Linked DNA regions of Neurospora crassa OR74A. The protein of the gene in region 3 purifies or fractionates together with the protein of the main gene of each other region. This does not show direct contact. Links are inferred from orthologs where the notes say so. Each region holds a gene or a part of one and is shown on either strand. Other genes may lie near its edges.

What was found.
Region 1: the proteins of NCU03440 (region 3) and NCU09673 purify together in Saccharomyces cerevisiae (affinity purification with mass spectrometry, with the first as the bait; 4 studies listed by BioGRID). This does not show direct contact. The link is inferred for Neurospora crassa OR74A from reciprocal best matches to the Saccharomyces cerevisiae genes APL3 and APM4.
Region 2: the proteins of NCU03440 (region 3) and NCU05232 purify together in Saccharomyces cerevisiae (affinity purification with mass spectrometry; 3 studies listed by BioGRID). This does not show direct contact. The link is inferred for Neurospora crassa OR74A from reciprocal best matches to the Saccharomyces cerevisiae genes APL3 and APL1.

What each region holds. Positions count from the first base shown.
Region 1 is NC_026505.1:874,847-879,294, reverse strand, and holds NCU09673 (AP-2 complex subunit mu-1), read right to left. Parts: upstream 2,873-4,448; 5' UTR 2,761-2,872; coding exon 2,424-2,760; intron 2,333-2,423; coding exon 1,363-2,332; intron 1,268-1,362; coding exon 1,261-1,267; 3' UTR 399-1,260; downstream 1-398. Other genes in the region: NCU09672 (extracellular cell wall glucanase Crf1), read right to left, coding at 1-15; NCU09674 (O-methyltransferase family 3), read right to left, coding at 3,524-4,264. UniProt on the Saccharomyces cerevisiae protein: Component of the adaptor complexes which link clathrin to receptors in coated vesicles. Clathrin-associated protein complexes are believed to interact with the cytoplasmic tails of membrane proteins, leading to their selection and concentration.
Region 2 is NC_026504.1:5,672,376-5,676,659, forward strand, and holds the start of NCU05232 (AP-2 complex subunit beta), read right to left. Parts: upstream 2,952-4,284; 5' UTR 2,223-2,951; coding exon 2,178-2,222; intron 1,918-2,177; coding exon 1,657-1,917; intron 1,595-1,656; coding exon 1,230-1,594; intron 1,181-1,229; coding exon 1-1,180. Other genes in the region: NCU05231 (ER membrane DUF1077 domain-containing protein), read left to right, coding at 3,371-3,511, 3,572-3,924, 3,982-4,060. UniProt on the Saccharomyces cerevisiae protein: Adaptins are components of the adaptor complexes which link clathrin to receptors in coated vesicles. Clathrin-associated protein complexes are believed to interact with the cytoplasmic tails of membrane proteins, leading to their selection and concentration.
Region 3 is NC_026502.1:711,352-713,531, forward strand, and holds the end of NCU03440 (AP-2 complex subunit alpha), read right to left. Parts: coding exon 1,274-2,180; intron 1,163-1,273; coding exon 998-1,162; 3' UTR 542-997; downstream 1-541. UniProt on the Saccharomyces cerevisiae protein: Adaptins are components of the adaptor complexes which link clathrin to receptors in coated vesicles. Clathrin-associated protein complexes are believed to interact with the cytoplasmic tails of membrane proteins, leading to their selection and concentration.

The DNA.
Region 1 (4,448 bases), on a different chromosome or scaffold from region 3:
CGTATCGTTGCCCATTGTTTTCTTAAGTGAGGGGATATTGGGAAAAAGGCCAAGGGGAGGAACGAGACCCAGAGTAAAAGATGAGAGAAAGATGCGGATGGGGTTGATATCTTTCACGACACTCAGCAATGACGACGACGCACAATAAACGCGGTCCAGTTCAAGATTTGGGGAATGCCAAACCAGACTGTCGACGCTGCGGAAAGACGGCCGCATTCCTCACCTTTTCTACCTACCTGTCTGGTCCTAGTAGTTGTGATGGTGACTCCGGGATCAAGTACGCTTCGTCCTTTCCGCGTCGTCATACTTGGTATATCCGTTGGCACTTGATCGATAACACATCGACGAGACGCAAGCGCTCAGATCGAGACGGAGCAAAACAACAGCCTGTCTTTCGTCACACGGTGGAAGCTGGAACGACGGCAATTATCGAGTCAGAAACGGTGATGGTGAACACTAACTGACACTGACAAGCTGGCAGGGCTGTATCGTGTCCGTAAGACTGAATCACTATTTTCTAAACCGTTGCCTAGAGAGGCAAAACCAAGCGAATAGATTTGGTCCTAGGTGCCTCTAGAGTTGCGAAGAATGAGCCACGGCTCGATGGACCAAAAAGCGCAGAAAAATCCGGAGTTCAAGTTCGTTGGTTCGCAAGGTCCTGGGTGCTAAGTAGGCGGCCAACTCCAGTCCAAGGCCACCGGTATCAGGCCTCTCGAGGGACCTGTTACTATGTAAGCACATTCCCGTTTCAGCCATGCTCGATCGTATTAACAGGACAACAGGAGATGAGTTCAAAACATTTTTCCCGTGTCTCTTTCTATCATCGGACAAGCCATTCCCCTGGTGCTGTTCCAGACCATTCCCTTCACCAGCACCCATGGTCTGGTAGTTTCATACAAAGCTGATTGGCGACATATCCTATCGCTTGAAGTTTAGCTCTCCATATCGCACGGCCCCATGTCCTATAGCTCACTGCCACGCGTGCCACGTATTATCGTGCCTGTCCCATACACTGGCGAAGAGCTTTTCGTCGTTTTGTGCTCGTCGTAACGTTGTTGTGACCCTTGTTCCCCCTTTGGGACATCTCCTTGTATAAGTTGATTTTATTACTCTGGTATCAATCGCCTGATGCTTCCCTTCGTGTAACTAGTAACGCCCAGACGCCGTGCTATTATATGCCGTAGGTGGTAGGATGGCCCGTGCATTAACCGGATAGGGTGTGTAGTCGGTGGCGCACGCCATTACGTATTATACAATAATTTAGAACCTGTGAAAGTATTAGCGAAATGCATTGCGCCGGTAAAGGAGACAGCAAAGAAATCGGAGAAGAAGAACAAAAAAACGAAAAGAACGGCAACCTACCTAATCTCGTAGCTTCCTGCCCTTGTCATATACCTCACCCACTTCACACTCGAGTAGTTGCTCTTTTCGAACACCTTAAGATAGCGAACCAGCAAGCCAGAGCTGGTAAACATCAGCAAGCTAAAGTTCATACTGAGTGGCGGCCTGCTCCAAGCCTTCTGGTTTGTCATGCTCGTAAGCTCGGCCTCGGCGCTCAGCACAAACTCGCTCTGTCCAGCAAAGCGACCAATCTTCCACACAATCACGTTCTCGGACGGCTCGTACTTGGCCTTGCCCTGGGTACAGCGCTCCGTGATCCTGGCCGTGTTGAGCGGCGTGGGAATCTTGACGACCACGTTGGTCGCAAATAACTTGGATCCAAAGTTGGCGCGCACACCGATGCTGTATTCCACCTTTGTCTTGCCCACCTCGTTGACAATGGCGTGCACCTTGAACGGCAGGTTGACGTTCTCGGTTGCGCGGTACCTCATCAGCTCGAACTCGCCGTCGGGCGGAATGAAGCTGATGATGCGGTCACTGTCAAACTTGCCCAGCTTGACGCACTGGTGGAATTGGCAATCTTCGAGCGTGACGCTGCCGGCCGCGGCCTTGGTCGCCTTGCTCCCCATCCTGTTGCCGCTGGGCAGGCTCATGAGTCCGTCCTGGTCGAGTAGGAGGCGGTCGTTGAGACCGAACTTGCACTCGGGCGTGCCGCTGAGGTAGGCGCGCATGATGATCTGGCCGTTGACGTCGGCGCGCAGGACGGAGCCGGTTGCGCTCATGAGCAGGTTGACATCTTCGATTACGTCGACAAAGGCTTCGTTCTTGCGGTACTTGACATCGGCCTTGCGCCAGGATAAAGCGCCAGTAGCTTGCATGGTGATCTTGGCGGAGTCCTCGACGGCGCGCTCCGACTTGACGCCTTCGGTTGTGATGTACATCTTGAGAGTGTCGGTCTCGGTGTTTTGGGGATAACCAAAGTCGATGATTTCTGTAAGGGCGCGGCGGACATAGAGTTGAGGTTAGTTGCAAGCCGCCATCTAGAAACACCAAAAAGGGGGGCTACCGTAGGTGGGACATACCATCCAGGAGCTCGTAGACCAGGACAAAGTTGTTCTTGACGGCCTCCTCGTCAAACTTGCCAAAGTAGCCGCGACCCAGCTGGATCAAGCGGTAGAGGAACTCGAAGACCAGGGCGGCATTGGCGTTACTACGGGTGATGGCGACCAGGTAGATGTTCTCGTGCTTGACATGGCTGAAGGTGGTGCTGCCGAGGGTCAAGATAGGGGATCGGACCTGGGCGTTGCTGATGACCTGGATGCGGAACACGTCCGCCAGTCGTGGGCGGCAGTCATTGCGGAAGGCTCGGAAGATGAGGTTCTCGCCCTTTTGGTTGAAGATGAGGATCCCGGACAGCATCGTGACGGGTGTCGTCGGGGGGAGAAGAAGGAAGGTAATGATTGAGAGTTGCAAGTCGAGTTGGCGACGGGCGGCGACGGCAGACACGGGCGGGCAAGTTTCAATGTCAAAGGCGGCGGGCGGTCAGGAACAGCAACCCGCGTCTACCTCTCTCTACACCCCATTACTAGGTACCTGCGTGTGCTGTACCTAGGTGTTGAGCGCCCCGACTAGTGCCACCTGAACGGCGGCTCTTCAGGGGATGGTGGACGCTACGGGGGCGCGCGACATGGGTGCCCTGCTGGGGAGAGGAGCCTGCCGCTCTGAGCTGTGTGCCAGTCTCCGTCCTGTCGCACCCTACGGCAGGCAATAACCGAGCAAGGTAGGTACATCATACCTTACTCCTGCCCTAAGCGTTTAGGAAACACAGCAGCGAGGCCTGATGGAAAATTGTTAGTGACACACGCACTGCGCTCTGCACCAAGCAACGAGGTACTTTGACAACGAAGCCCCTTTTCGTGGCACTAACAATAAACAAGGAGCACGTCTACAACTCTGCGCCAAGGGGAAAAAGGATGGGCAATACGACATCTGAGGAGCACGACATCCTGCTTCATCCCACCTACGACCACTTCATTATTTGGAGCTTCAGGAATTTTCAAGGCGACATGTAACGGTTCCTTTTCATTGCAGCATACTATTTAATCGAGTGCTTGATAAGTCCCCCACCACTGTCATGACTCATAACATCGTACACTTCAACTCCCAATTATAGGTAGGTATTTCAAGCATCTGTCTTCAAGATGGCCCAAAGACATCCATCGTAGCTCTTCTCGCCCACAGTCTGCATGACCACCGACTCAACCCTCGTGTCCTTGGCCACTCCCTCGACCAGAATCCTGCCCGCCGTCTCCCTGGGCTCCGTCAAGCTCTGATCAATCAGCCTGCCTCCGCGCACCACGTTGTCCACGCAAATCATGGCCTTGGGCAGCGCCATTTCCACCGCCAAGTTGAAGTAGTTGAGGTTATTTGGCTTATCGGCATCGATAAAGAAGAAGCCGAACTTGGGCCTCTTGCCCTCTTCGATCTCCTTCTTCAGCTGGTTCAACACCTCCAATCCTGATCCCTGAATAACCTCGATTCTGTCCGACAAACCCGCGTACTCAATGTTCTTGCGCGCCACCTCAACGTGGTGGGGGTCAAACTCCACAGTGGTAAGCTTCATTTGCGGGTTCTCGCTGGCGAGCCAGATGGCCGAGTAGCCGCCCAAAGTGCCGACCTCGAGGGCGTGTGTGACGCCCAAGACGCGGCACTGGAGAGCCATGAACTTGCTCTGAGCCGGAGAGGCCGAGATGTCGGGCAGGCCGGCGGCTTTAGAGGCATCAAGGGCGTTTTGGAGGGCTGAGGCGTTGGGCTTGCTGGAGGGGTGGAGCTGGCCCATGGTGTAGCCGTCGACGGCGGTCCAAACGTCGTTTTGGACCCAGTTGTGGCCCTTGTTTTCGAATTTGAAGTTGCCGGTAGACATTTTGATAGTGAGATGTAGTGTTTGTGGTGCTAAAAGTGATTGTGGTGGTGAAGGGCGTCTCGGCGGCGGGGGGGGGGGGGGGCGGGCTTGATGAAGAGGTGCTATTTGGCAACGGGGTAAGTGAAAACTTAAAGAGTTAGCAAGGAAAAGGTGGTCTAAATACCTACCTGTAGCGAAGCTCTTC
Region 2 (4,284 bases), on a different chromosome or scaffold from region 3:
CAGTTGGTGGGCTGTTGAGTAGTCAAGATAGTCGGGGCGTTGGAGGCACGGGGAGTCTGGGAGTTTGCGTGGGCGGGCGTTACGAAACACGGTCTGGACGGGCTTGAGGTAGACGGTGGCGAGGGTGCCGACGTTGAGACACATTTCCTCGAGGGTGACGGGGTCGAGACGCTCCGACTCGGCGGTGATGGCGGGTTTCTCGCCCATGACGATGCGCTTGGCGGATTCCATGTCAGTCGAGAGGAGACGCCAGTACATGTAGGCGCGGTCGCGGAGGTCGGGGTTGTCGGTTTCTTCGGTGGCCCATTTGAGCACGCGCGGGACGAGGTCCTGGCCCTTGGTGGGACGTTGGATGAAGAGCTTGACGGTTGCTGTGAGCAGGGCGAGCTGGACTTCGACGGGCTCTTCGGCGAAGGAGTACAAAAAGTCTTCGAGGAGGGCGTCCGAGTTCTCGATACGCGAGGCGTACTGGCCAATGACCCACACCATGGCTGCTTTGGCTTCGGGCTCGTCGAGCGAGTCCAGGTGCTCGCAGAGGGTGCCGATAATGGACTCGTACTGGTTCGGGTACTTGCGGAAGATGTTGCGGATCACTACCGTGGCTTCTTGCACGATGTAGGTGACCTTTGTGGAGACCAACTCGAGCAGCAGGTTGATGCATCGCTTGGCCGCTGGCTCAATCTTAATGGCCAGTTTGCCGATGGCGCGGACAGCCTTGCGGACAAAGTGGACGTCGATTTCGGTGGCGTACTCGCGGAGTTCCGTCAAGACCTCGTCAATGTTCTTCTCATTGGCGAGCATGAAGATGAGTTCGAGCTTGGTGACCTTGACGTAGATGGGGTCGTTGTACTTGCAGAAGAAGACGCGGATGTCGTTGCGGAGGACTTCGGGGCGGCGTTGGAGGATGAGGAGGGCGTTGCGCAGGGCGAGGTATTGCACTTCGGGACCCTTGGCGAGGAGGGTGACCAGTGGTGGGGAGAGTTTCCGGCAGAGGGCCGAGATTTGCTTTTGGTCGGAGATGTAGTTCATGAGGTAAAGGATCACACGGATACAGGTGAGGACTACCGACGAGTTGGAATGTGAGAGGCGTGGGGCAATACGCTCGGCGAGAAGGAGAGCTTCGCCGGATTCTTGGGGGATATAAGACATGAGGGCTTCGAGGATGTAGGTTTGGCCCCATCTGCTTGCTATCAGTAGACCGTACTTGTGTTGCAAGGGGGATAACCTACTCGGAGCAGTCGGCCAGAATGGCAACCATCTTGGAGGCATTGCTGTAGTCGATAGTGAGTTTGATAGCATCACTCCTCTCCCAGATATCCATCAAGCTCGCCAGGGCACTGGCCACCACTGTCGGGTTGTCGTCTCTCAAGAGGTTGTTGAGTCTGTCAATAAGGTCCGAAGCCTCAACCATGTGTCGATCGTGATCGTAGAGCTTGGCCACGCAGAAAGCCGCCGTCTTGCGAACGTAGGGGTCGATATCGCGGAGGAGGTGCTTGACTAGTGGCACAGTAGCCTCGACGAACTCGCGCACGTGGATATAAGACATGGTCCGTAGGGCAAGGGCGCGCACCAGGGGGTTTGGATCTTCCATGTCCTGGTCTTTGTCAGTGACTGGCTATATCGCACAAAAAAAGGTGGACGTGGTTGGTGACTTACATGTTCCAGAACCGGAATTGCTTTTACCGCAATCTCTGGCTTCATCCTCGCATAGTTGACCAGATACAAGAAGCACATCTTTTTAATTTCCAAGCTCTGGATGGCCATGCAGGCGACAATATCGGGAAACAAACCGACCATGTCATTGTTACTCATGGTCATGTTGGCGACAATCTTCTTGAGGGCAATCTTCTTTTGGGTAAAGTTCTTGTCCTTCTTGCTGCCGCTGTTCAGCTCGAGGCGTAGCTCAGCTACTTTGCCCTGTCGAGTCTGTGGTAAGCTAATGTTCGGCGGGATAGGGTATGCGACAAACATGGTGGCGGTGGTCATTGCGGTCATCAAGGTTCGCGATGTTGAGGAGAAACAAACAAGCAAGCAAGGGAGGGGGGGGGGGGATACAGGAAGGAAGCTGAGCTGGGGTGGTGGATGGGAGGAGGGGTGGTGGTGGTGGTGGTGGTGGTAGACAAAGCAACGGCATATCCCGAGCAGCGTAACATGTGTAATGATATATTTCATCTTACCCTCGCGAACAGCTTGGAGTCTCCTCCTCCTTGTGCGGCCGACATGTTGTTGTTGGCTGCTTGTAGAGTATAGTATTATCGTCCACAACCTCCTCACAGCTATTCCTGTTTTGGTCGATTCGAACCCGGTGCCGAGGAATGCTTGCGATGCAACGAAAATAGGTTCGATATCGACAAAATGGACGAATGGCAAACGAGCTCGGCGCGGGCGTAAGGTGTGGTGGGTGGTGTGCTAGGCAAGGAAAATGCCCCTCTGGCTCTGGAACACAATTATATGTTTTGTGATTATCGTCGAGTCGAGAACAGCCAACCAATGTAACAACAAGCAGGTGAAACAGGGTGTCACAGGCACTCTTTCTGCTGCTTGTCCTCCTCTTTATTTTGTAACTTGGAGGTTGAGGCAGATAATCCAATGTCCGTCGCGAAGAAGTTCCCGAGTGCTGGAGTACTAATGGAGATAATTGTCGTCGAAGAAGGATCGCGATGTTCGTCGTCGTCGTCGTCGTCGTCGTCCTTGTCGTCGTCACTCTCTCGGTAGGCTCGGTGAAGATCTGTTCCGGCGCAAAGTACCCTCCACTTTCTGTTGTCGCTGTACTGTACGTAGTTGATCGGGATGAAACAGCTTCTAGGTACGGTAGTCTTCAGCCAAAACTCCAACGAGCCAGACAGACAACGGAAAAGATGATGTTTAGTTCAAATCTTGACTCGCCGGGGGGGGTAACGATGGAAAATAATACGGGTTCAATTCTGTTCACCGGTCAGGTTGGGGCGTCCCCTGAACCGTCGGGTCGATTAATTACGGCACCTCCTGGTCAGCGATCGCGGACCCTGCAGACCTGGACCTGCCGCTTTGGTGCCGTCAACACTGAACGCCCACTGGACGACGCCCTTCTGCCAGTGAACGACTGGCACGCTTCAGTGGAGCTCGGTAGCATCATCAACAGCGCACGGTCCCCACCACTCGGCGGCCAGCGTGGGGAAGCGGCTCAACTAAGTGTAGTGGGGCCCTGCGGTGTCTCAGAGACCGAACGGGAAGTGGAAGTCAGGGACGGGCAGCTACCTTAGCGAAGCACGGACTCCATCACGTACACTACACTACACTACACGTTGGGCGTCATCGCAATCCAGCTTCCACCTACTTCCCATTACCAATACCTTCACTTTCTATAGACGATACATTCACAAAGCCCGCCATGACTGACCTCAAACCCGTTGTCGACCCCGCCCCCAGATGGGTAACCGACCTCGCCAACCCACCGCCTTACAAGTCCAAGCCTGCCAGCATCCCCGATCCCCCAGGCTACTCGTCGCAAGCCGTATCTGGTTCTTCCAAGGCAAGCAACTTCCCATTACCACGAATCATAGCCCCCTCGCTGACATGTTTACCCCTACAGAAGAAGGATGTCTCCCGCCCCGCCCCCCGCGAACAACCCTCCCCCGAAAAGATGGACCAGCTCAAGCTCAAAAAGGCCTGGGAAGTCGCCCTCGCGCCCGCCAAGAACCTGCCCATGACGCTCATCATGATGTACATGTCCGGCAACTCGCTCCAGATCTTCAGCATCATGATGGTGTTTATGGCCTTCAAGAACCCCATCATGGGCTTGTTGTCGACCAACCAGGCCTTTGAGCGATTCGAGACGGACAGCAACCGGGGGTCTATTCTGCAGGTGAAGGCGGCCTATGTGCTTATGCAGGTGTTGGCGCTGGCGGTGGGTGTGTGGAAGATTAATAGTATGGGACTGCTACCGTCAGTTTTATCCTTGGGGAGAGTGTGGTGAAACGAAGGCTAACGTGGTGAATACAGGACAACGAGATCCGACTGGCTTGCTTGGGAAGTGCGCAGGGAACCGCTGGAACATGCTGTACCAGCATTGTCGTTATGAGACCTCGAACTTGATGGACGATGGTAGAGGGAGACTGAGTCTCAACTTCGCGGATACTATACACGTTCGAAATATGCATATCACAGCGATTGGTCTCTATACGGCAGCAACTTCTTTTGTAACCATTGGCTATGGATGTCGATATGAGTACGCCTTTGCATGGACATCACTTGTTATCTCTAGCTTGATACGTTGGCTGTACAAGAGACCGGGGCCATAGAAGT
Region 3 (2,180 bases):
GGTTGGTAACTTGAAGCTCCCAAGGCGGCAATGGCAGGGGAGTGGTGTTTGCACACGCAGTAGAAGCTCACGTTATCACTTATCACTGCGGTGAAAGCCCGCCGTCTCAACGGTCAAGTGATGCAACCGCAATCACCCACCCGACCAGCCGCTGATGAGCAACCAGAGTGATCGGCGCTAATAAACCTTAGCTTAATGGGTTTGTTCGTTAGCTCGAGACCTCTAGTCGACTTGTGTAGGCGTTTCAGCAATAACTTAATGTACTTGATATAATGATTGAGAGTTGTATCTGACATGAAAAGTTGAAGACAGATACAGAGAGTTTGTCTGGCTATAGCTGGTCTATCTCCAAACAACATTGTTGCGTTTGTAATAGGTTGGACAGTATCTTCCTCGGGGTACAGAGCTAACAAACAAACCAGCATTATATGTAGAGCTCGGACCATACGATCACGGCTCAGTGGGGCCAGCGGGGTACCATTTCTCGCACCTTGCTGGCTGCTGCAGTCTGACGTCCACGTCTGTTCACTTGTTGGTTATCGCCTTATCAGCCCGGGGATGGAATACAAGGAAAGTCCACACACAACACTCAACGCACACTCCCTACACCATCATGGAGTCCTGTCTTCCCTTGAGGTTACTTCCATATCAACATTATTCTTTGCCAGATATACTACCTTCTAGCATAATGAACTCTCTCATCAGCTCCTCCTCCTCCTCCTCCTTCTCCTCCTCCTTGGTGCTGCCTCTTGCAAGTTTCGACAGCCAGATAGACAATGACCGTCAACAAGTGCAGTTGCACCTCCGGTTATTACTATAATACTACACCTTTCGCTGACTTCGGGCCACACTAATCACATGTGTGCCCTTGGCTCAATGACTTGACCCGGTACTGTAGGTAGTCGCTGACTTTAATCAGTAGTCTTTTGACCTTCGACCACCACCCCTGACCCCTCTTAATCACATACACTACCGCCATCACCCACCCACCCCCTTATTACCTAACCATGATATTCCTAAACGACTCGGTAATGTCGCTCGCCGTCGGGGGTTCATATCTCTCCGGGCGAATCGACACACCCTGCGAAAGGCGTTCCTCCATCATCTTGAGCAACACGGGCGGCACCGTCTCATCCGTCGCTCTAATCGTCAACCGAACCATCTGTACACATTTCATCGTGTATTAGCATTCCATCCCATCCCATGCGTCAAAGTTGAATAGAGAGTGAGAGAGAGTAAAAGAGAGAAAAAAAAAAAAAAAAAAAAAACTCACCTGAGTCCCATAGTTAGGCTCCAACCTCATCAAACATCCAAACTTGCCTCCCTCGCTCGTATGCACCACACTAGCCCCCACAAAGTTCTTGCTGTTGGGATCAACATTATACAGCAATCCCCATCTGAACCCCTCCAGCACCTGGCGAATGAAACTCTCCGTAATCTCCCTCTCCCCATCCTTGGGCCCAGAGAGTCCAAAGATGCGCTGAGCCTCGCGCGGTGCGCCGCCAATCTGCTTCCACCGCTTGAAAAAGTCGTCAGCCGACAACTCGGCCTGGTCCATGAACTTGTGGATGACGACGGGCAGTTTCAGGGTAAGCGCCTGCAGAGCGCCAGCCAGATACGAAATGCGGACGGTGGGCGCCTTCTCAAACACGCGCTTGGCTTCAAAGACGACGACCTGCTGCGTTTGCGCGCCCTGGTAGATGGTGGTTTCGGGCATGCTCTTGACGTCCCAAGACAGGTTGGCGCGCTCCGAAGGGTCCAGATCGAGCGTGGTGGTGAAGGAGCCGATGACGGCTGGTGTTTTGTTGGTGAAGTAGAGGATGATGGCCGCCATTTGGCCGCGATATTCGGCGCGCACGCCGACCTGGATCTGCCCGTCTTCGAAGAGAATGCCGTCGGCGCGCAAGAGGAGCCGGTTGAAGCCCTTCTCCCACCCGGGAGACAAGTGAGCGGCGCTGGCGAGGTTGGGCGCCTTAATGACTTTGGCTTCGGCAGGACCGATGTTGTTCATGTCGAGACCAGCAAGGTCATTGGCAGATGAAGATCCGTTGGTGGCTCCGGCGGCCGGGGCAGCACCGCCGTTGGCTGGTCCGGTCTTGGTGCTAAAGGTCCGCCTGAGGCTGGCTTTCTTGGCCAGGCTGAGCTCTGCACTGTCCGCGTTGGCATCCTTGCCACCAACA